Oreochromis niloticus: one gene and its partners. The protein of the gene in region 1 interacts with the protein of each later gene in a pairwise test. Links are inferred from orthologs where the notes say so. Each region holds a gene or a part of one and is shown in the gene's direction. Other genes may lie near its edges. The genes, in order: hmg20a, brap and rpp30.

Region 1 (7,121 bases):
CACCAATGAAGCAGACACTGCTTGGAGCCGAACAGTCAGAAAGCAACACTTTTGTGTTCCAAGTCAGCCAATTAGTGACAAACACGATTCTACATAGCAAGGCTACCTCTTATAAAATTCATGACTGTTAGAGACCTAGAATATGAAATATCTGCTGGTAGAGTTGCCATTTTTATTGCCGGACGCTTTTTCCAACCTCGCCAATATCAGGTTCTTTTTGTGTGCTCATTGTCATTATTATTTTAAATCCCAGAGTGGAGAAAAAAAATACAGCCTCATATGGTAAACAACTTTTCTGGCCGTGTTGCATTGACCAGTTTAGTGTAGCTTGTCAGAGTTTGGTTTGAGATGCATGGACTTAGAGTTTTTGCACTAGTGTTCAATATTTTCCTGCAGGGAAAAATCCCACTGCAGAAAAACCCAAAAATGTCAGTTTTGCCACAGACAGCAGGCTCTGAATGAGATGTACCCACAAGACACTTGACTTAGAGCTGTTACTCCTCTTTTTAACCTGCCAGGACAAGCTCACTTTGTCAGTGTAACTGCTGCTACAGCACCTCTGTGGGTACAACGGGATAACCAACAGCTACACTAGAAATCAAGGCAGCTCTGTTTAATATGAAAACTTCTTTTTGAAATAATAGCAGCAAATAGATTCTAAACTTCATAGTGTTTAAATGTTAGAGATCTCATATTGCCTGGAATTTGATGTTGTGATTGTGTGAACAAGATATTGTAAAATAAATATATAAATAAATAAATAAAGACTCTCTTTTCTAAAAATCTAACGGGTGGCTTGATGCACCCAATCTGTGCCGAAGAACTGGGTTGGATTACCTCAGGATAATTGGAGTGAGATTACAATCAAAGTTTTAATTAGACTGCAGCTACAGTTGGTTTACTCCTGCCTGGGTGTCGATTTACGATCTGTTAATTAAGAATTAGCGCATTAGCCTTCCCTGTCTCGCTCTCCCTCTCGGAAGCACACGCTTTTATCTTGCATCTTAGCGAAGGTTTTAGTTCTGTTTCTCACACCAAGACTGTTTGAACACCCCACATTAACCCACAGAGAAAGTTGTGATTTTATCTACACCTACGTGGATGTGTACTCAAATCCACCCTTAGTTACAAAGAACAAACACAACCTTGTTTTGCTTTTCAAAGGTATTTTTAACAATCTTGAGGAACAGGTATTTTTACTTGATCTATAAAGTAATTATATTAACAGTTAGTGTAATGTAATAACTTCACATGTAACTTTTTTCAAGTCTAAGACTCAAAAGTCAAAGTCACAATGTCATAAAACCTGAATAATCCCTCTAAATTTTGGAATCAGATAAAATTACTGGCATGTTCCCAGTTCTACTCCAGTCCTGCCTGAATATATATTTATTAAATGAGTTGAGATTAAGAGTAAAGCTGACATTGTTGGACATTTTAATGAACAGCTAGTTCTGTTTTTAATACAAATGTGGCAAAGTGTCTGTGTTCTGATTTGAATGTCATCTTGCCTTTTCAAAGAACCCTTTTGTCTTTAGACCTGTTTTGACTGTGGTGACTCGCAAAGCTTTGAAATCCACTGATCCAAAAAAGGTTATCTAGACCTGACAGTCTGAATACTTATCTTTTCAAGCATGTAGCTGATTTTATTATTGAGCCTGTTATGGCTGTTTTTAATCTGAGTCCCTAGAATAATATGATAATACCTGGAAAATAATAATACCTGGAAAGCAGTCTATGTCTCTCTCGGGGCGATCGTGGCTCAAGAGTTGGGAGTTCGCCTTGTAATCGGAAGGTTGCCGGTTCGAGCCCCGGCTTGGACAGTCTTCACCCGTTGCCTACTGGTGGTGGTCAGTGGCCCGGTGGCGCCAGTGTCCGGCAGCCTCGCCTCTGTCAGTGCGCCCCAGGGTGGCTGTGGCTACAATGTAGCTTGCCATCACCAGTGTGTGAATGGGTGGATGACTGGTTGTGTGAAGCGCTTTGGGGTCCTTAGAGACTAGTAAAGCGCTATACAAATACAGGCCATGTTTGCCCCTTATTAAAATTTAAACAATTATCCCCCTGCATCCACACTTTCAATGTGGATGCAACTCTCAGTTGAAAGAATACTTGGTTGACAATAAGATTGTATGTGAAACCCAGTCTGGCCTTAGACTAGGTCATAGCAACAAATAGGTTGGTAACAAATTATATTAATATCATTAATTCCTTGGACAGGAAGCATCTGTGCCGCCTCGGTTGCTAATCGAGGCGGCACAGATGAATGGGTTATGCTAAAGGCATTGATTCTGTAGACCGAGCTGTTGTTAGGCTCAGTGATGTTGCTTTCAGCTCAGGAGCTACTTGAACCAGCCATCTGTATTAACACTATGTTTATACAGATGGATACAAGTCAAACTTTTAAAAGGAATCCCCTAAAGTTCAGTTTTAGTTTGTTTTGATAATGGCTCTGTTTAATTTTCTGTTTTTTATTAATAACATTGGGAAGCTAAAGTGGAACTTTATGCAGGTGACACAATACTTTACTCAGCTGGCTTCAGTCTGGATCAGATGGTAAACGGACTGATTCTTATATAGCACTTTTCTACTCTCTTGGAGTACTCAAAGCGCTCTGTACAACATGCCACATTCACCCAGGCACACAAGCACTTTCTTCTAAACTACAGTCATACTTTGATGGATGAATCGGAGAGCAATGTGGGGTTAATATCTTGACAGTATCCTTCAGAACAAGGATAGAGCAAGGATACTTGATATCCAGGAGTCCAGGAAACCACTAACCTTCCGATCAGTTGGTGATCTGTTCTACCTCATGAGCTACAGCCACCCACAGTTATCATTGCATCATTGCATAATGCTGCTTTCCAGAAAACACGTCCAGATCTCTCACAAAATGTTTGTTTTTATTTGCTAGGCATAGACTTTATTGAAAGAGTATCAACCAATAAATATTTAGGTATTTATGCTTTAGAGAGCACCTTGTGCATTCTTATACTCTCTTGATTATGCTCACCTTTACCTTTCACACATTTACATACATGCTGCCTTCTCTGCACTTTACATTTCATAATAATATCATTTTATAATCTGGTTTCTTGTCCCTCATTAAGCTGGTAAACAGCACTGGTATATTTGTACACCCTTTCTTATCTGTGTAAACTCCTAAAACATCAGCTACTAATTTGCACTCCTCTGTAGGATTTCTTCTGAACTTGGTAGTGCAAACTTCTCTTTTTTTGAATGTGTTAGTCTCCCTTGGAGAGTTCAGCGCTATTATAAAGTCTTCTGCATTTGAAGAGTGCAAGTGTTATTCATAAGCTGGACTCTATGTATTTATTCATTCTATTTTTATATTATGTTCCTGTTATGTTAACTTTGACCTGCTTATTTCCTCTTATGTGTACTGAGTTATAATTCATTTATAATTTGTAATTTTGCAATGGTGTACCATCTTGGACAGGCCTCCCTTGCAAAAGAGAGAATAATCTCGAGGGATTTCCTAGTTAAATAAAGGCTAAATAAAATAAATAACAGTGGTACTTGAATTAATGTGGATTGTCTTATAAATTACAAAAAGATTAAAGACTCCTAACTGCAGCCCAAATCAGAAAAAAGATTTTCATCTCATCCATTAAATACTTCTAACAAGCTCTGGTTTGTAGCTTGTTCCTGTGTTTGATTAGAAAGGCTTAAGGCTTGAAATTTCTCAAGAGATTTTGACTTTGAAAAACGTATCCATTTAAGACATGTAATGCTTATACTCAACCGTAGGGGGAGGTAGCGCTCTAAATGAGGGTGGTTGGTTGGGTACACGAAGAAAAATGAGACCAAGAATTAGAAAGCATAGAGCAGTTCGCTGTATAGAATCAAAGAAAATCAGCTTTTGGGGGTTTTAAAGACATCACGTAGAAAATATTTTCTAATTTTCGTTTCTTATGCTGTTTTTTTCTGGTGCTTGTTTTGCATGGGTGGAATCAGAGACCACCCAGTTACAGTCAAATGTATAAATGTATTGCCTATTATATATATATATTCAGAAAAGTCGCATTGCGCTATAAATACATTGCTTTTCTCATAACTGCCAAAAAAGCACTGATAATATGAAACATCAAATCATACGCGTAGGGAAAACCGTCTGTAGTAGGACTAAGTACATCAGGAGCCCCCATGCTTTCTGTCTATCTGGTGCGATTCTATCTGAGTGGACATTTTTATTGTTTTGATTAGGAAAATATTCTGGGCAGCTCCAGCTAGAGGGTGCGTTATATAAGGTTGGTTTCCACACAATGGCTTCCGTTATATCCACATAAAATATTTAGATTCCTGATGTATCAAATCACATGTCAAGGTTAAATGAAAACAAAGGCTTTCGATGACCCATCTTCATGCTAATGGCTTGCTAATGCTAGCTAGGAGCACACTTCGCAATCAGCTAAGAAGTTTAATATATTAGTGTTAGCTTGTTACTTCTGATAATTATCATTTGAATATGTCTCCCTTTTTTATGTCGATTGATTGACATTCAGCTGACACACAGCCCAAGAGTGAGGTTTGCCTGTCGCAGCTGTTGAAGTTAGCTTTGCTTAGCAAGTGTATGTTAGCATCATGTAGCAGCCAGTATAGTTCGCTATTCCTGCTGGCCAAATGGATTATTATTTATTTATTTAATTTTTAGCGATACATCAGTATAATAGCCCACATAAACATCTAGCTACATAAGTTAAATGTAAGTCTAATCACTATCTGGCCTAGCGTGTTACTGTTTAAACATACTACTTCAGGGGTTAGGCCTTTAATGGCTAAACGCTAATGGTTGATTATCACACAGAGAAGATCCCACATACACATACATAAACGTCGTAACGACTGACAGAGAGCTCCTAAACCTAACCTAACAGCATCCTGCGGTGTCTAATAATTTATAGCTGCTGCTGTGTAAAATATAGAAACATCAGTTGGCCTAGATACCTCCTTGTACCAAAGTAAAGCTGTATACTATAATAAAGGACAAAGCGCACTCTGGTATATGCCTTATGGTGATCACATACTGCTTCAATATGTCACCGTGTAAAAAGTGAAACTATTAAACCTCATATTTTATCTCACAGATTGTGATAGTGGACCATTTTATCTGGAGAAAAGAGATTTGAGTCATGCATCATGTGCTAAGGTCCAGCAGAGGGCACTGTGGCATAGCCTTTTTCTGCTACACAGAGCATCTGTTTAGTCTTTTCTGTGCTCGTTTTTACTTTTTAGTGAGTTTTTTTTTTCATAGTCAAACCCAGCGTCTTACAACCTAACCCAGAACTCCTAAAGTAACATCAAATAAGCTTCCTTGGATGACAGATGGGGGATAAGTTTGCAGAATCACTGGATTTTATTATCACTTCTTCAGGGTCTGAAAAAAAGTCTAACAAAGAAAACCCTGGCTTACCCCTCTTTTCTGGGGGGGGCTTTCCATAAGAGCTTTTTGTGGTAGACTGACTAATTCCTCTGTGACTTTTCCCACAGTATTTAATGGCAGAGGGCAGAAACCACATCCAGGCTAAAGAGGTGTATTTCCCATGTTGTCAAAGGAGAGGTCAAAGGTTAAAATGCACAATGTTGCTCCTATATTTACAGCTCAACCTGGGCTGCAGCTGCCCAAATCAGCACAGGTTTTAATTTGGTGCTATTGCCATTCATTTGGGGTTTTTTGCACCGATGCTTTGCAGTGTTTTCAAGTGGGTTAGAGACTCCAAAAATATGGCGATTCCAGTTAATCTCATTTTTTAAAGCACTGATATTTGGTGAGTGAGTGTGCTTTTATTGAGAGAGTGTTTTAGCACGTTCAGTGGTGTTCTCTTATCTCCAAGTTTAAGGCAATACTGCCACACTGCTGCTGTTAAAAATAGGCTGCGTTAGTGCTTGAGAAGTGAATGTGTTATGTTTTTCTTTTTTCATTTACTTGCTCAATTGTGATTGATAGCAGCAAGACATTTCTATTAGAGGAAATGAGGCTGGCCAAGAGACTGTTTTGCAGCCAAGCCTGGGTGGAGTTTGGACAAGAAGCCGATCAGTCTCAAAATGCTTAACCCACCTTTGGGCAGCAATCTATGGCCTAGTTTTTCACCTGACTGCCATAGATGGCACAATCTTTAGGTTAACTAAACATTGGCCTTTTGAGATCGTATATTCATGTTTTAAAAATAGTTTATTGGCCGTTTCTGCTGTGAAATGTTTTTTGTTCTAACATCTAGTGTTTCCCTCCAGATCTAATCTTCCGTCGTAAGAGTCATGGATGAGCAGACGGGCTCACCTGCAGCCAATGCTGACAACAACAGCCAGAGAAACGGAGATGAGGTAAGAGGTGAACACACAGATATCGAATGACACGTTTAAAAAAAATACATATATAAATTAATAAAAATTCCAGTTCACACTGAAAGAAAGTCTTGCCAGTACACGTCAGGGTAGAACTCCTACGTGAACCTTTAAAACATGTTTGTTTTCGTTATCTCGCAGAAACCCCGACGTGGCAGCTGGACCAAGGGGAGGAAGAGGAAGAAGCCAATGAAGGACAGCAACGCTCCCAAGGCCCCCCTGACGGGCTACGTTCGCTTCATGAACGACAGACGGGAGCAGCTACGGGCAGAGCGTCCAGACGTGCCCTTTCCAGAGATTACAAGGATGCTGGGCAACGAGTGGAGCAAGCTGCCCCCCGAGGAGAAGCAGGTCAGCAGAGAAGTTCGAGACAGGATTACACAGTGAGCCCACAGTGGCGGAGAGACATGTGTCAAACATTTCTGTTGGCATTTCTTTCCATCTGTTTTAAGATTACCTGCAAAAGGATTAAAAACAAATCTCTATGTTTTCACTCACGTCCAACTATGGAGTGCAGCTTTTGAGAAAGCAGTGGAAGAAAATAAAGAGAGCAGAAGCAAGCGATATTCATCTGGAACCTGCCAACACAGAATATCCCTTGCCAGATTTAACAATACCTCAGACCAGCAAAGCATCATGTAATTTTTCACTTTGCACAAAAACGGCTTAGGGAAAAACTTCCCTTAGAATCCATAGCAACCGTGTGTTTGGAGCTGACAAAGAAATTCTGACGGCTTCTAACAGATCGTAGCTTGATG
Region 2 (7,130 bases), about 34 Mb from region 1:
ATTGTACATAATAAAGAGCAACAACCACAACTCCGTGACTAAATGAGAATATAAGACACAATAAACCACTATCTGTGTGTTGGTCAGTTATGTTTCCTTTTTATTATTGTTGACTTTATTATTTTCTGGTGATTTACAAAAAAAGAAAAACGCAGTTGAAGGATTGCTTTTCCAGCACATTGGAGAGCAAATGGGCACAATTTTACATTGAACTCATGAACTCTTTGTATCTCTTTGGATGCCTGACTGCCTGCAGGAAGCCTTCAGACTGATGTTTCCCCATACACAAATTATTGTCATTGTCATTTAAAAAAAAAAAAAAAAAAAATTAATTTCTTTGCTTCGTGTACCCTGTGTGTGTGGCTTTAGCACTAAAAGTGGAACCACCTCTGTAGTTGCAGTATTATAAAGAGCAATGTTGGAATGAGTTACTTAACCAGGGTTGGGTTTTTTCTTTTTTTTGCGGGGGGGGGATTGTTATTGTCTGCCGCTTTTTGTTTGTTTGTTTTGTTTTTTGTTTTTTAATACTAGTGGCACCATTAGTGGAAGTGGTGCTTGTAAACAAGGTCTTGTGGAATCAGGTTGTTCCAGCACAAAGAAGAAATCAGGCTTCAGAACCTTTAGAGACAGGAATGATTAGAATTATTTAAGAGACCATCTATGACTATCATAACATGAATGTTCACCAAAAACATGCTTTCTGTTGAGGCTGTGCATATGCAACTGCTTGAATTTGCGTTGCTGAAGGAAAAAGGAAAAAGTGACAGTTATAAAGATAAATGCAAAGGAGGCTGTGACTAGACTAAATATACTGATGTTCATACTAGACCAGATTATATGTCCAGCCCAACATGCAGCTTCATAGTAACTGTCCTGGGACAACTCTTCTGTCTCAGGTGTGTTTCACAGGCGGACATTGGACCTAATTGTAAATAGCTGAGGCAGCCTTTTTTTGAAGTACTGTGTGTGAGCGAGGACTTTAGTGTGTTTTTAAAAGCAGGTGCAGTAGATGCTATGAGATTTGTCCTGTTAAAATGGTTTTGTCATTCCTGCTTTATTCCCTCATCTTCCTTCCTCCCCCTACTAAAAGACTCGTGAACCAAAATGGTGTCATCAGCTGCTGCATCTTCCCAATTTGTGCAAAATCAGCATCTTGTGCTATCATCAGTAAACAGGAGGTGGAGGAAAGAAGCAAATGGAGGCATAGTTTACAAATACCAAGGGGCACTGATGGCACTGCAGGTTGTGTGCAGTTTTATTTATACTATTGTAAGAATTTGGCATAGCAATGTGAATATGTGAGAAAATGACAAACTCTTCCCCTTCCTGTTAGTCCTGAATATGCATACAGTTGCATACACATCTGCTAATAAATGCCTTTTTTTTTCTTTTTCTTTTTCTTTAAAGAGTCAAGCCCATCTGTTTGAGTGGTTGGACAGAAGGTGTCTGTGATCTGATTACATGTGTTGAGAATAATGGTTGACAATCTGGAGTGTCATCTTGCCACCCTCTTTTGTTAGAAAATGGAAAACAGAAACACTGGAATGTCAAAGCTTTTTTTAAATAAAACAAGGTAAATGTGAGGATTTTGCTGTATTTTATGTTTCCGTTATTATCAACACTAGAAGAAGTAAAAGTCGGCTTTAGATTTGGACAACTTTTCTAAATTCTAGTCCTACAGATATCCCCACAGATGCTGTTTAACAGGACCAGCCAACCAGAAGAAGTTTAGCTTTAAAAGGAGGGGAGCTACACCAGCTTGTTTCAGACACAATGAACTGAAACTTTGGAAATAAACTCAAAATACGAGTACAGGAAATTGATGTTCTTTAAATGTCTTCCCTTAAGTGCATTAGTCAGTCAGTCCATGGTGATTAAACCCAAATCATGAAGTTTCCTATACACACAGGCAACAGTCAGTTTGGATGAAACACTGAAAACAAAAGAATTTTTAAACAAATTATAAGAACCACTCATACAAAGGACCTCAACCCCAGGATGAAGAGTGTAATGGAACATTTTGTATGACACAAGATGATGAACAAAACTGGAGAGAAGGCAGAAAATCCACTGTGGTGACACCTTAAAGTAGGGGTCGGCAACCCGCGGCTCCGGAGCCGCATGCGGCTATTTAGTCTTTATTTTGCGGCTCCGGGTGGTTTGGGAAAATAAATTAGAAGTATTTAGCTAAAGTGTATTTTATTTGTGTTTAGTTCTTTTTTTAACTTGTACTTCTAAATTGGAAGATTATTGTGATTTTGAAATGTAAAAATAAAATTATATCTTATTATTTTTTCATCGCTCAAAATAAGCGTCACACTCGCAGAAGCCGGTGTACCCGCCAAAACGCCGTGCATTTATCGAGACTTTCGACACCAGGTAGGCCAATTATGGATCTGGATCCACATTATGTCAGCAGCTGTTCTCCACCGTGAACTATGTTAAAAACAAACACCGCTCACGCCTCACAGATGACAGCTTACAGTCCTGCGTAAAGATGAAAGCCCCGATTTGCAGACGCTGTGCGCAGAGGTTCGGGACCATAAGTCTTATTGTAAACATATCACGGCAGACTCGACGATGTTTGCATGAACATGCTTTTCAGCATCTCTTTATTGACCACTTTTCACACACGGTTGCTGTACGCATACAGCCGGCTGTAGCTTTTCAGCTCACAGCCCGACAACACAACAGCAGAGAGAGCACAGGCTTTAGGGCGGCGAGGCGTGATTGCGGGTGCCGCTCAGGTGCGTCCGACTCCCATGCAGCGGCACTGCAGACCACGCCCCACCACACACATTAACCAGGTAAAACATGTTTAGGCAGAATTTTGCAAATATCTAATTTTTTTTAGCAGCATAGAGCTTTTTTTCCTAATTACTTTTTAAAAGTCAGGTCAAGGCTCCAAAAGCCCAAAGGCAATATAAGGGTGGCGGCTCACAACAGTTTTTGTTTGCTACATGGATCATTTTAGTTCAGCTGGGTTTCTTTCCTTTTGTTATATTTCTTTAAGAGTTTAAAATGTGTTATTTACTTAAATAAAATTTAATTTTCTCTGTAGCACTTCATGGGATTTCATAAGCAACACACCTTAGTTGCTCTGTGGATTCTTTTAAAAAGCAGTTAAAAACTTTTCTGTTCAAACAAACCTTTTGTTGATCTACGTATTTTATATTCTTTACATTATTTACATTTGATATTTTACATTGTGTATAATGTCTATTGATTGTATTGTTTATTTTAATATTTGTGTACAGCGCTTTGTGACTGCCTGTCTGTGAAAAGCGCTTAATAAATAAACTTTACTTACTTACTTTAGTTGTTCACACAAAGCATAAAGGTAAAAAAACCCCCCCAATATATACAGTGTTATCTTCATTTTAGATTTCAAAAAGTATTTGCGGCTCCCAGTGTTTTCTTTTGCGTGGAAACCAGGTCCAAGTGGCTCTTTGGGTGTTAAAGGTTGCAGACCCCTGCCTTAAGGGAGCAGCCAAAATAAGATGATGATGAACATCCAAGAGTGTGGAGACAGAGAATGTGGCATTTGAACTCCATATCAGCTATCAGTTATTAAAATGAAGATGATGGACATTTTGGGGGCCTTTTGATTGGTGGAAGATATTAAGAACATTTCAAGGTAAAATTGAATATTCATATTTTGGCGGGCATACTTATTATTCAGAAGTCACTAAGGAGGTTCTGAGGCTGGTTTTATCTGAAGACCAGCATATGTGTTTACTTGTCAAAGAAGGTTTCTTGTAAGGAAATAAACGAGACTGTTCTATAATTAGAATGCACTTCTGTCATGAGTAAGTCAGTCATAAAAATGTCAATGTGCTATGACAAAGGGAGAAATAATGTGGGAGATTTTGCCTTGCAATACAAGGAAAAACACCTTTTCCTGTTAAAGTCGTCATCATCATCTTTTTCTTCTTTTGGCTGCTCTCTTTAGGGGTCGCCTCAGCAAAATATCTACCTCCATCTGTCCTTAGTATCTTTTTCTGTCACACCATCCGTATATAAAAAGGAACAAGAATAAATAAAACAGCAGAGGGCAGTAATGCACCGCTGTAGCGTCTACTCTGCCTTACTAAAATTAAAGATGAAAAAACTGAAGAAGACGAAGAAGAAGAAGGGGAAGTGGTTCGACACAGCTAGCTTGTATTAGATTTCAAAACAAATCTGATTTGTATTTTTATGCGCGGAAAAGAAAGAAAAAACAGTGTGCATAACATGAAAGCTTTAAAGCTAAACTGAAAGCTCTTTGCTTCTGCTGTATTTGTCTGCTTGCTGTAATTAGACACGAACTGAATATCTTGCCAGTCATCCATCTAGCTCTACGTGCTAGCTGTTTTAGCTCAGTTGTCAGCGGCTTGTTTTGTTCTGTGTTAAGTGGCAGCCCCAGTTATAACACATGAGTGTGTCACTGGTCGTTATTCGTCTGGAGTTAGCCGACCAGTCACCTTTTCCACAAGGTTTCCAGTACTGCGCTGGTGAGTTTTATTCTCTTAATTTTCAAACATCTGCTGAAAGTTAAACAGCTAACCAACAGTGGGCGTGAAGACCCATTTGTCCACTGCTAGTTGTTTTACTGTTTTCACAAGGTAATTTCAAACTAACGAGTTGCTTCATTAGAACTATGGCCTGACTCTGTTCCTCTGGTGTGCAGTTGAAGGCATGTCAGAGGAGGAGCTACAGGAGAAAGCTCTGGGTTTAGCCAAACACAGTCTGAGTGGAAAAACCGACCTGGAAAGATCAGCTGTGCTGCACCAGCACATCGGCAGCAGAGCCATGGGGGACATGGTGATAGAGACCTTTGAGCCCAACCCAAGTAAGAATTTTCCTGATGTTTAAGTGTACCTATAAAATATGAAAAGCATAAAGTCAACTGTAAGAGCAATACTTCACTGTCCTTTGGGGAAGGTTGTCTTCGGATCAAAGTTTTCATCACACTGAACCTAATTCAGCATCTTAATAACTATTAATCTCAACGTTTGCATGGTTAGTAAATAATCTTTCTAAAAAGCCAGGCAAGTGGGAAATAACAGGGAAGAAAATGAACGTGTAAAATACTGACACACTCTTTTCCATATTTGGTCATCAGGTGACTGTGTATAAAAAACACATTACTTTCTGGCCATTTTGTTAGGTTACCCCTACTATGTCAGGCCCCTTTTGCATCCAGAAATGCCTTAATTCTTCATTGCACAGGGCTAACAAGGTGCTGGAAATGAAAAAGTTTTTGGTCTATATGATGCTTTGTAGATTTGTCAGCTACGCATTTGTGACACATATCTCCCGTTCCACAACATCCCAAACATATTGTATTGCAGCAGTCCCCAACCTTTTTTGCGCCATGAACCGGTTGTGTGCTGTCCTTTAAGGTGTCGCGGATAAATACAACAAAATAAAATGATACGACCAAGACAAAAACTGTGGTATTTTATAAATATAATAATAAACGCAAATTCACTATGTAATTGTGTAACTTTATTAGCAGCGTCTTCCTGAAATGCGCCAACGACATTGAGAGTAACATCCTCCTCTCTGGTCCTTAATGTTCTCTGGTCACTATGGTAACGCATAAATGTTTCTTTCAAAATAAGACACACAACTACAACACGGGAAAAGACCCAGGGAAACCGAGTTAATGATAAAAACCCTGAAAACCATACATTTCACACCGGAGCCTCATCTCTTGCGGCCTGGTACCAAACAACTCACGGACCGGTACCGGTCCGAGGCCCGGGGGTTGGGGACCGCTGTTCTAAATGTCCCAAGAAACTGTCTCCCACAGTATTATTCTGCCACCCATCTGAACCATTGATGCAAGCCAGGATCCATACTTTCATGTTTTTTTGCTTGAAATTCTCACCTTACCAGCCAAATGTTGCAGAAGAAAACTAGACTCATCAGAGCAGACAACATTTTTCACATCCCCTAATTGTTTGGCTTTTGTCTGAATTGTAGCCTGTGGAGATGGATGTGCTGGAAAATCCCAGTGGATTATCAGTTTCTAAAATACTCATACCAGTCCTTCTGGCACTAACAACCATGCCATGTTCAAAGTAATTTAAGTCGCCTTTGGCCTCCATAAATAAAATTTGCCATTTATACATATTCATCCTCTTTCTTGTCTTCTCATTTCTTAGTTTGTAGAGCCTCAGTTTCTCTTTTCGCCTCTACTCACATCTTACTTCATTCCTTCTGAGAGATGTGAGCTGAGGAAGTGACAAATTTTAAAGCCATTTTAAATAATTAGAACATTTGGCTCAGCAAAATTATTTTCAAAGTATTTTTTTTCCACAGTCTACTTTTGTTCAGAGATTTCAGATGAGAATATTTAGGTATATTTAGGCGTAGAATAGGCCTGCGTGTCTATTCTAGCTGTGAACCAGCTCTTTCATGCATGGAGGTTAAAAACACTTCTCCAAATGATCGTCTGGCAAGCCTCCTCTCTCCTCTGTCCTGTAGATGCGTTCTAAGAATGAAGACATCCTTTAGCATGGTGCATTGAGATCGATTTTCCTCTCACAGGCAGGCGTGTGGAGGACAGATGAGGAGACACAAATTAGAGAATCAAATGTAATCAGTTCTGATAAATGGATTTAATTAGGATATATTTAATTACATTAGTCTTTTGGGGAGTTATTTTACATATTCATAGACCAATGTTTTATTTTGTTTTTTTTAATTCTTGTAAGCAGGAATGAAAGTAAGCCAATTCAAGTTTGGTTTTGTCTGTTCATCCACATTCAAAATATATATAATTTAAATTGCTGAATTTCTCTTTCAGACACAGGTGGACGTGAGGAGCGAAACAGTGAAGTTCAGGATGCAAAGACTGGTGTAGACAGTCAGGAGGGTGCAGAGGACAGGAGGTTTGTGACAGGCACAGCTCTGGACTCACCCTCCAAGCAGCTGCCGGACCAGATCTCTTTCTTCAGCGGGAACCCCTCAGTGGAGATCATTCACGGTATCATGCACCTCTACAAGACCAAGTGAGTCTCATCTGGTGTGTTTATGATAGATGTGATGAGGTGAACATAAGGGATCATTATTTGGGCACTTTTTACCAGATCATTGTCAGCTAAAATGTAGCTGATAAAAGTCTGATGCTTTCTTTATCG
Region 3 (8,011 bases), on another chromosome or scaffold:
GCCGCTGTGCTGCTGTATTTGGGAGGGGAATATGAGCATTCGCAGCCGACCACTGTTGGAGTGATGTAGCTGGGACATCCACCCCACTAATGTTGCAGGGTGGACCCATGGACCCCCCCCAGTGCAGAGCCACACTGCGTTTCTGCAGTGGAGGCTTGCACATGGACCTCCAGCTGCCTCTCGGAGAACCTGCTGCAAAAGCACCGCACCACCTTGACTGCAGAGCACCGAGTAACGAAGCTCTGTTAAAGACGTTCACTCCTCTACTGCAGCACTGCAGTGGTGGAAAAGCAGGAAAAAAAACACACATTTCCCAGTGTCCACTGTTCCCTCCTGTAGCTGATATAGATTGTTTGTAGACAAAAGATTCTCATTCAAGTTTTCCTGATTTCCCACTGAGTTAACGATTTCAAGGGATTTTCCTCGACACCCACTGGCTCCAAAAAAGACTGAAAGCTTAACAGAAAATCTCATCCTGAACACTGAACTGTTAATGCGAGCACAGCTGCGGTGCTACTGCTGCACGATGGTCCGATGATGAAGCCCACAGGTGATGCTGCTGACCTTATCACTGCTGTTAAAACCCCGTCTAAGCTGGCTGCTTTTACAGTGACAACTGTCACTTTGACTCATGAGTATATTTTAATTCCTGGGTTTATTTTCTCCACACATCAGTGAGCTCGTTCTCTGCCGTGTTTCTGGTCTGTGTCCAGTCCCCGCCTACTCCTATAACCGAGCTACTGCTTATCTGTTTGAGTTACTGTGCAGTTTGTTAAAAAGACGCTCAGCACAGACTTTATGACTGCTGTTCATCATCCTGTGACCTGAAAATCCTGTATCACTTGTTCCTGTTCGTGCACTGAGCTGGGCCTGCTGCTCACCTGCAGCAGCATCACATAGGTAACCGGCTGACCCCACAGGTAGGTCGTTGCTGACAGTGTTACCTGTCTGCTGCGTGCCACAGCTTCTCTCCGCAGCCTCTAATTGTGCAGCCCTGATGAGCGTTCATGGCCAACGTTGCCGCACTCACAGCACCGAGACTACCAGCTGTGTAAACCACGTTCTCATATTTAACCTTACATGATACAGCAGGGTCACTCAGGTAACGCACACCTGTCTCCGTACAGACTGAACGTGCTGCACCCTGCCGTCATCACAGCCGAGACCAACCACCCCGAGCCCGCTGGCGAACTTGCCAAAGCGGGTCAGCTGTTTTTGGATCAGATCACCGGACATGGTGATTCGCGCTGAAGCATGAATAAAGGTGAAGCGTCCATAAACAAGTCAACGATGCTCCTTTCACCATGAAGGTGGACCAACCATTCGTCACGGAGAACGACAACTACGGCCTTGTTCCTCCGAGAGCCGTAAGTGATGTTCTCGTGGCCCACCTGTTCTCCAGCAGCTGACAGAGCCTGCTTCACCCCACGTCTACACTACAACTGTTAACTGAAACTCCAACCCAGTGAAATAAACTTATCTTACCTTTAACCAACGAACAACCAACAAACAACCACAGGGTGTAAAGCTTCTGAAAATATAGCCCAAACAAACTCACTCACACTCCCAGCATGCAGTGCAGGAAGGACAGGAGCATTTTGTTTTAATGTCAGTTGCCTTGGAAACAGATGAGTGAGGTCAAAGGTCGATTAGACCCATTCAGCCAATAATCAGCTGTTGTAAAAGCTGCTGAAGTCAGCTGATCAGTTGGTCACGGCCTGGACAAGAATCTGCTGGAGCCAATCACCACGTGACCTGCCCTTTAACCCCACCCACAGCAGAGGGAGCCTCCACCTTGAACCCTGCAGTAACCGTCTGCAGTTACACCATTGACTGTAGAAAACATGGACGACGCGACTCCGCCTCCTACCATTGTGCAAAAATGAAGCCAAAATATCCCGCTTGTGGAGGCTGCCATCTTGCAAATTTGGAGCCAGAGTCTGCGCAGTAGTGACTTGAGGTGGAGCGACTGTGTAACGCTCCCGCCCACACACCCGCTGGACATGACCGCAAACACGCCCCCCTACACTTTTTACGTAGCCCGGCTGCTCAAGTTTTTTTGCTGGTTTACCGCGACTGACGACTCTTTAATTAAGGTAAATACAACCATGTCACTGTTATTAAAAAAAGACGCACAGCTTATCATCTTATAGTTCTAAAATCACTTTGTTGTTAATTCGTTTGCTAGATTAGCCGCTAGCATACGCACTGTGTTGGAGGCTTGTTGTTAGCTAGTTAGCGATGCTACACACCTAATACTCTAATAGTCTGTTATTGAAGGATTCAGCACTTCTTATGTTTGTTATCCATTTTTAGACAGCGATGAGATCATCTGCACACGCTACAGAAGCCCAGAGTTACTGTTAATATCAAAAATATAATGCTGTCCTTTGAGATTTTAACATAAGACTGTGAGTGTAATGGATCTAAAACTGTTTAAATCTTCAGAGCCCTCTACAGCCTGGTAACATGGAGACTTTAAAAACATCAGCAGAACGTTTCAATAGTGTAGTCTAATTTGTTCTTTTCATTTAATAATAGAGTCCACATTATATCAACAGCTACATTCACCCTGGGGAGAAACTAGTGAGGGAGACCATCAGGACCAAGCTGGGTTTCCTGGGTCCAGAGGTTTGGAGAAACTTCTTCCTTTTCTTTCATCACAGCTGTTCTGTGCTAAAGGTGCTGTTGACCTACTGAAAGAGGCTTCATTTAAGAAACACCAGGAAGACTGAAGCTCATCGCATTGATCAAGCAGGACTCATGATCTTCACCAGCAGCTCCCTCACAGGGAAATCTTCAGCACTCCTCCATAGGCCCGATCCAGGAGATGGATAAACCCAGCATTTCATGAACACTGTGATGGAGACCTTTGGTTTGTGTAATGTTATAAATACTCGGATACTCCCCAGAGGCTCCAGACTTTTACATAAAGATATTATATTCAGTCCTGTAGAAAGTTATATATTTAAAAATATATGATCCTCTCTGGTTACTCTGGTATGAATAACTCTGAATCACTTTATGGTAAATAACACATTATCTGCAAAAAACTGTGAAAGAATTCCAGATGACAAGTTTGTAGTTCAACATACAAGTGATGATGTTTGATCTTCATCAGATTTTATTTAATTGTGCCAGAGAAAATCTCATATGCTCTTCATGCAGCTGAGTACATCAAGTGTTTAAAACGGAAGCTGTGCAGGTCTGAGATACAAACTGAGGTCCTGTTAATGCTGATATATAGTGACACAGTTACATGAGTGATTAATCCTTTTGTTTTTTTGTCTTTAACTTTATCAATAAAGCTGCAGCTTTCACTACAGCACGTGTGGTACTTTAACCTTTGTACTGTTTTCATCAGTTCATTTTGCAGTTAACATGTTGGATGATCTGTCTGCTGTCACTGGGTGGTGCTGAGGTCTGAATCTGAGGGCAGCTCCTGTAATCACAAAGACAACAGAACCATCAAACTCAAATATAAATTTTATCCCTCAAAATTGAAATGAAGCTGATTCTTCTGTCCTCACACACTCAGGATCTGAAGTTCTTCTCTTACATTTTTTTCAGTATTACAGTACACTACAGTACTTTAATCCATATTTCCTGATTAATGAGGAGTTACTGAAGTACAAGCTTTTAAAAAAAGATGTTACTGTCTTTACAGATGTGGCAAGAGACTGAAAACATGCTGTTTGCACATATTTAATATTCAGTTCTGCACAGGAGCTGCAGCAGGGTGCAGCCTGATGCTTTTACAGTATAATACTTGTAATAAAAGTACAGTAATTAGTGACTGATTAGCCCGGAACGTTTCTCTTGATTTCTTTAGTAAATTCATTCACCTGCACAGATTAGCTAAACGAACCCTGACAGCCGAGTGCTCATTTTAGCTAGCTAGGTCTCGGGACATAGCTAAGGACGGTAGTTACGGATTAGCTTACAAACACGATTAACTTACCGAAAAAGTGCAGCCGGGCCTCGGGTCCTTCTGTCGGGTAGTCCAGTTTACTGAAGAACACCTCAGGCTGTCAGGTTAAAACACTCGGTCGTGTTTTCGTAGCGTAAACGCTGGCCCTCCTCTCAGAATCTACGCTCTATCTGCTATTCCCGAACAGAGATACGCAAGTTTCTCCGTGACTGCAGCTGCCAGTCAAAGCTGCTATGATGACGTTTCACCCCAATTTAACATCGCCGCGGTAGGAATTAGAATCAAACTTATGGGAAAGGAGACCCCTTGGACATCAATCAGCATGATGAGAACTATTGATAACAAAAGAAAGAATCTTTGGAAAAACATTATCTAAGGAGAATAAATTTATTTTAGTCTGACCCCAGTCCCATCCGCTAACATGGAGGAGGCGGGGTTTATGACCTATACTGCAGCCAGACACCAGGGGGCGATAGAGACGTTTTGGCTTCATTTTTGGGGAGCTGTGGCGTCGTCCATGTTTTCTACAGTCAATGAGTTACACCCACAGTTCCTGCAGCTCTGACCTTAAATCAGCCACTTTTTGAACGGAGTCTGGTGTGAGTCTCTTTCCTTCCTGTGGAGCTTCTGACGCTACTGCTTCTTCTTCTTCTGCTCTTATTTTCATGTTGCTGCACGACAATAACAGCAAGAAAACTACCGCCCCCTGCAGGACAAACGCCACACTTACAGGAATTATAATTATATTATGATTCATTCATTCGTGTAATTTATCGCTTATATATTATAAATATATGTTATGATAGAACTGAAATGTAAATGTATTTAAAAATAAAACTCTGTGTGTAAAATATAATATTATATTAATTATACGATAGAAAACATTAATTTGATATAATGAATATAATTGAAATATGACGTCACTGTTCGCGTCATTATTTGACTGTTATTATTGTACTGTGGACAGGCGTGGCTCTGACAGGGCTGAACATCCATCAGTCTGCCTGTTAAAACTTTATTTCCAGTGTTTCACAGTTTGAATAAATAAAGGTTTCATATTCAGTTTTCACCTCAGACAGGTAAAAACGACTTTAATGCTACTTCCGCCTGTGACGTGAGGACTGCTGTTCCCAGCAGTCTTTGCAGCTGCGCACACGTGGTGGAGCGGCGGACGGAGGCATCATGGCGGTGTTTATGGACCTGAACGTGCCGTTTCTCCCGGACAGGAGCGACCTGCGCAGCGTCGTAGAGACGGCGGCTCACCGTGAGTGTCCGCGGCCGCAGACAACGCTCTGTGCGCCGGCCTGCCGCTGCTGAGCCCGGGGACGTAACGCTGCTGGCTCCCGAAGCAGCAGCTTTAAAAATGACTGTTTTTTGAATGGAGTCTGGTGGAAAACTTTGTGCCTGCTCTCTGAGCTGCTGCTGAAACTTCACTTACAGGACCATCTCAGGTCAGATCTCTCAGAGGGCAAGCAAGAAGTTTTCCACCAGACTCCATTTAAAAAACTGTCATTTTAAGGTTTCTCCGCGGTTTGCAGAAATGTAAACAAAAGTCTGTACTCTCGTATTCCTCAGAGACTGATGATTTTAATTATGTGTTCACAGTTGTTCCAAGCCAGAGCCGTAACACACTGAACTAAGTGACATAATACAGCTTAGAACAAACAGCTCTATAAACAATTACACACAGTAAATATATAAGTGTTAACACTGAGCTGCCCTCTTGTCCTGCTGACTTCGTTCCTCTGTGTGTGCAGATAGTGAGGCTCTAACTATTACAGTGTTTACAGTGTGTTAGATGGAGGAGTTATACAGGGAGATGGACACGGGCAGGAATGACTTCCGGTGTCGTTCAGTGGTGCATCATGGGTAATCTCAGTCTCTCACTGAGCGTGCTCCTGTGATTGGCCAGTAGAGCAGGGTGATATGACCAAAAATATTTATCACGATATACATTTGAAAATTTGAGATAACAATATAACTGACGATATAATTGACACTAGACAAAATACTTTACAACTCCGCAACTTTATTAGTACAAAATCCCCATCAATGTATTTTCACTTAAACAAGCAGCTGTTTTTTTATGTGCATTAAAGTTATATAAAAATTTAACAGTGCAAATGCAAATTCCTTGCTAAAAGTTTAACCAAAAGGCATTTCTAGTGGAAACTGGCGACATATCCTCAACATAACCATGTATAATATCCACAAACCTTAAAAAGAGGTTATACACACACAATACGGTAATATTATGTTGAAGCACAGTACGTATCACTCCGCCAGGCTCCTGCCTACGATAGCCGTAATGCTCCGACAATCCATCAAGCGGTGCGGCTTCGTAGCTTAACAAAGTCCTACTAAAACATTTAACAGATTTTCGAGCGCCGTGTACCACGTGTACCGCCGAGGTCAGTAAGCACAACCAGAATTCATACATAACGCGAGATTATAAGGGGCACTGTCGATTTTCAGAAAAATCAAAGGATTGATTTTAAGTGTGCCGTATTTTCCAAAAAACAGGGCAATAACGACGGCCCGCTAGCATGCGCTACCAAAAATAGTGCTTTGTTGTGTATCTGACGGACGAAAGCTAAACCAGTTCCACACCACTGACGTTGCAGCATTTTTACAAACCAGTTCTGGTTCATCTGTTTCACTCAACGATCCGCTTTCGCCCTTCTCATTCTCCGTTGCCGCCATGCTTTTTCCGCCATATGGCCCAGCCCTATTGGCCAGCATGTCATGGAGTGGGTGGGAGGTATTGTCCAGTATTGTCTTTATTTTGGACAACATCCATCTCTCAGACACCACCCTAAGGGAGTCCAGCTCCATCCCCACAACATTACTGGCCTTGTGATCAGTTTATTGAGTCTGTTGGCATCAGCAACCCTCAACCTGCTGTCCCAGCATGCAGCAGCACAGTGGATAGCACTGACCATAACAGACTCATAGAAACTCCTGAGCATTGTCCGACAGATGTTGAAGGACCTCAGAGACGACTCCGGGACTGCCTGTAGAGGGCAGTGGTGTTTTTAACCCAGTCCAGTTTATTATCTATGTGCACTCTGAGGTATTTATAGTCCTCCACAACATCCTCATCCTGGATTGAAACAGGGGTCACAGGTTTCCTGGCCCTCCTAAAGTCCACAATCAGTTCTTTGGTCTTTGCCACATTGAGCTGCAGATGATTCTGCGTGACGTGACAAAGGAGTCGACCACAGCCCGGTACTCTGACTCATCACCCTCACTGATGCATCCAACCACCGCAGAGTCATCAGAATCTTCTGAAGATGGAGGTCAGTGGCTGAAGTCTGTGGTGTGGAGGGGGAGAGGACGGTCCCTTGTGGTGCCCCTGTGTTGCTGATCACCTTGTCAGACACACACTGTGGAAGACGCACACATTGTGGTCTTCCTGTTAGGTAACAACAATCCAGGACACCAGAGAAGCATCCACCTGCATCGCTGTTAGCTCATCACCCAGGAGGCTCGGCCTGATGGTCCTCGCCGGCTGGTCCAGCAGACCTGGCTGAGTGGAGTCTTCTCGTTTGTCTCTGAACCTGGTTGTGAGTGAAAGTGACAGGTGTGGGAGGGGTATGGCTGTGGACTGCAGGCTGACTGCAGGTAAGGCTATAGCGGGAGGCGCTTTACCTGCAGTGTAAATCTGGTGAACAACACATTCACTCCTTACCTCTGCCCTCACCCTCCTCTGCTCTCTCATGCTGTTCTGCTTCCTCCTGTAAATGTCCTTATCCTCTCTGATCTCGTCTCTCAGTAACACCTGAACCAGTCTCACCTCTTCTCTGATGCCCTCCTCCTGTCATTGAGGAGGGTTTGATGTCTTCAGCCTCTCATGGTCACTTTATTATCAGTGAAACATCCTGTCAGTCAAGTTTAAGTGATCAGATTTGCACCCAAAACAACAAACAACAGCCAAACCAGACTCCATTCAAAAATCAGCAATTTTTAATGGTTTTACGAGTTCAGTTAAAACAAAATGGAAAACATCCATCCATCCATCCATTCGCTTCCGCTTATCCTTTTCAGGGTCGCAAGCTGTGGGGATAGGTACATCAGCCG

Evidence for each region.
Region 2: the proteins of hmg20a (region 1) and brap interact in a two-hybrid assay, tested with the Homo sapiens proteins (2 studies listed by BioGRID and IntAct). The link is inferred for Oreochromis niloticus from reciprocal best matches to the Homo sapiens genes HMG20A and BRAP.
Region 3: the proteins of hmg20a (region 1) and rpp30 interact in binary tests that used the Homo sapiens proteins (3 or more experiments, as listed by UniProt). The two-hybrid records come from large-scale screens. The link is inferred for Oreochromis niloticus from reciprocal best matches to the Homo sapiens genes HMG20A and RPP30.

The regions. Positions count from the first base shown.
Region 1 is NC_031972.2:45,102,393-45,109,513, forward strand, and holds the start of hmg20a (high mobility group protein 20A), read left to right. Parts: upstream 1-4,117; 5' UTR 4,118-4,271; intron 4,272-6,252; 5' UTR 6,253-6,276; coding exon 6,277-6,342; intron 6,343-6,504; coding exon 6,505-6,714; intron 6,715-7,121. UniProt on the Homo sapiens protein: Plays a role in neuronal differentiation as chromatin-associated protein. Acts as inhibitor of HMG20B. Overcomes the repressive effects of the neuronal silencer REST and induces the activation of neuronal-specific genes.
Region 2 is NC_031972.2:11,019,231-11,026,360, reverse strand, and holds the start of brap (BRCA1-associated protein), read left to right. Parts: upstream 1-4,099; 5' UTR 4,100-4,414; coding exon 4,415-4,493; intron 4,494-4,669; coding exon 4,670-4,831; intron 4,832-6,796; coding exon 6,797-7,001; intron 7,002-7,130. UniProt on the Homo sapiens protein: Negatively regulates MAP kinase activation by limiting the formation of Raf/MEK complexes probably by inactivation of the KSR1 scaffold protein.
Region 3 is NC_031973.2:2,529,953-2,537,963, forward strand, and holds the start of rpp30 (ribonuclease P protein subunit p30), read left to right. Parts: upstream 1-4,986; 5' UTR 4,987-5,113; coding exon 5,114-5,195; intron 5,196-8,011. Other genes in the region: nudt13 (NAD(P)H pyrophosphatase NUDT13, mitochondrial), read right to left, coding at 4,498-4,598. UniProt on the Homo sapiens protein: Component of ribonuclease P, a ribonucleoprotein complex that generates mature tRNA molecules by cleaving their 5'-ends. Also a component of the MRP ribonuclease complex, which cleaves pre-rRNA sequences.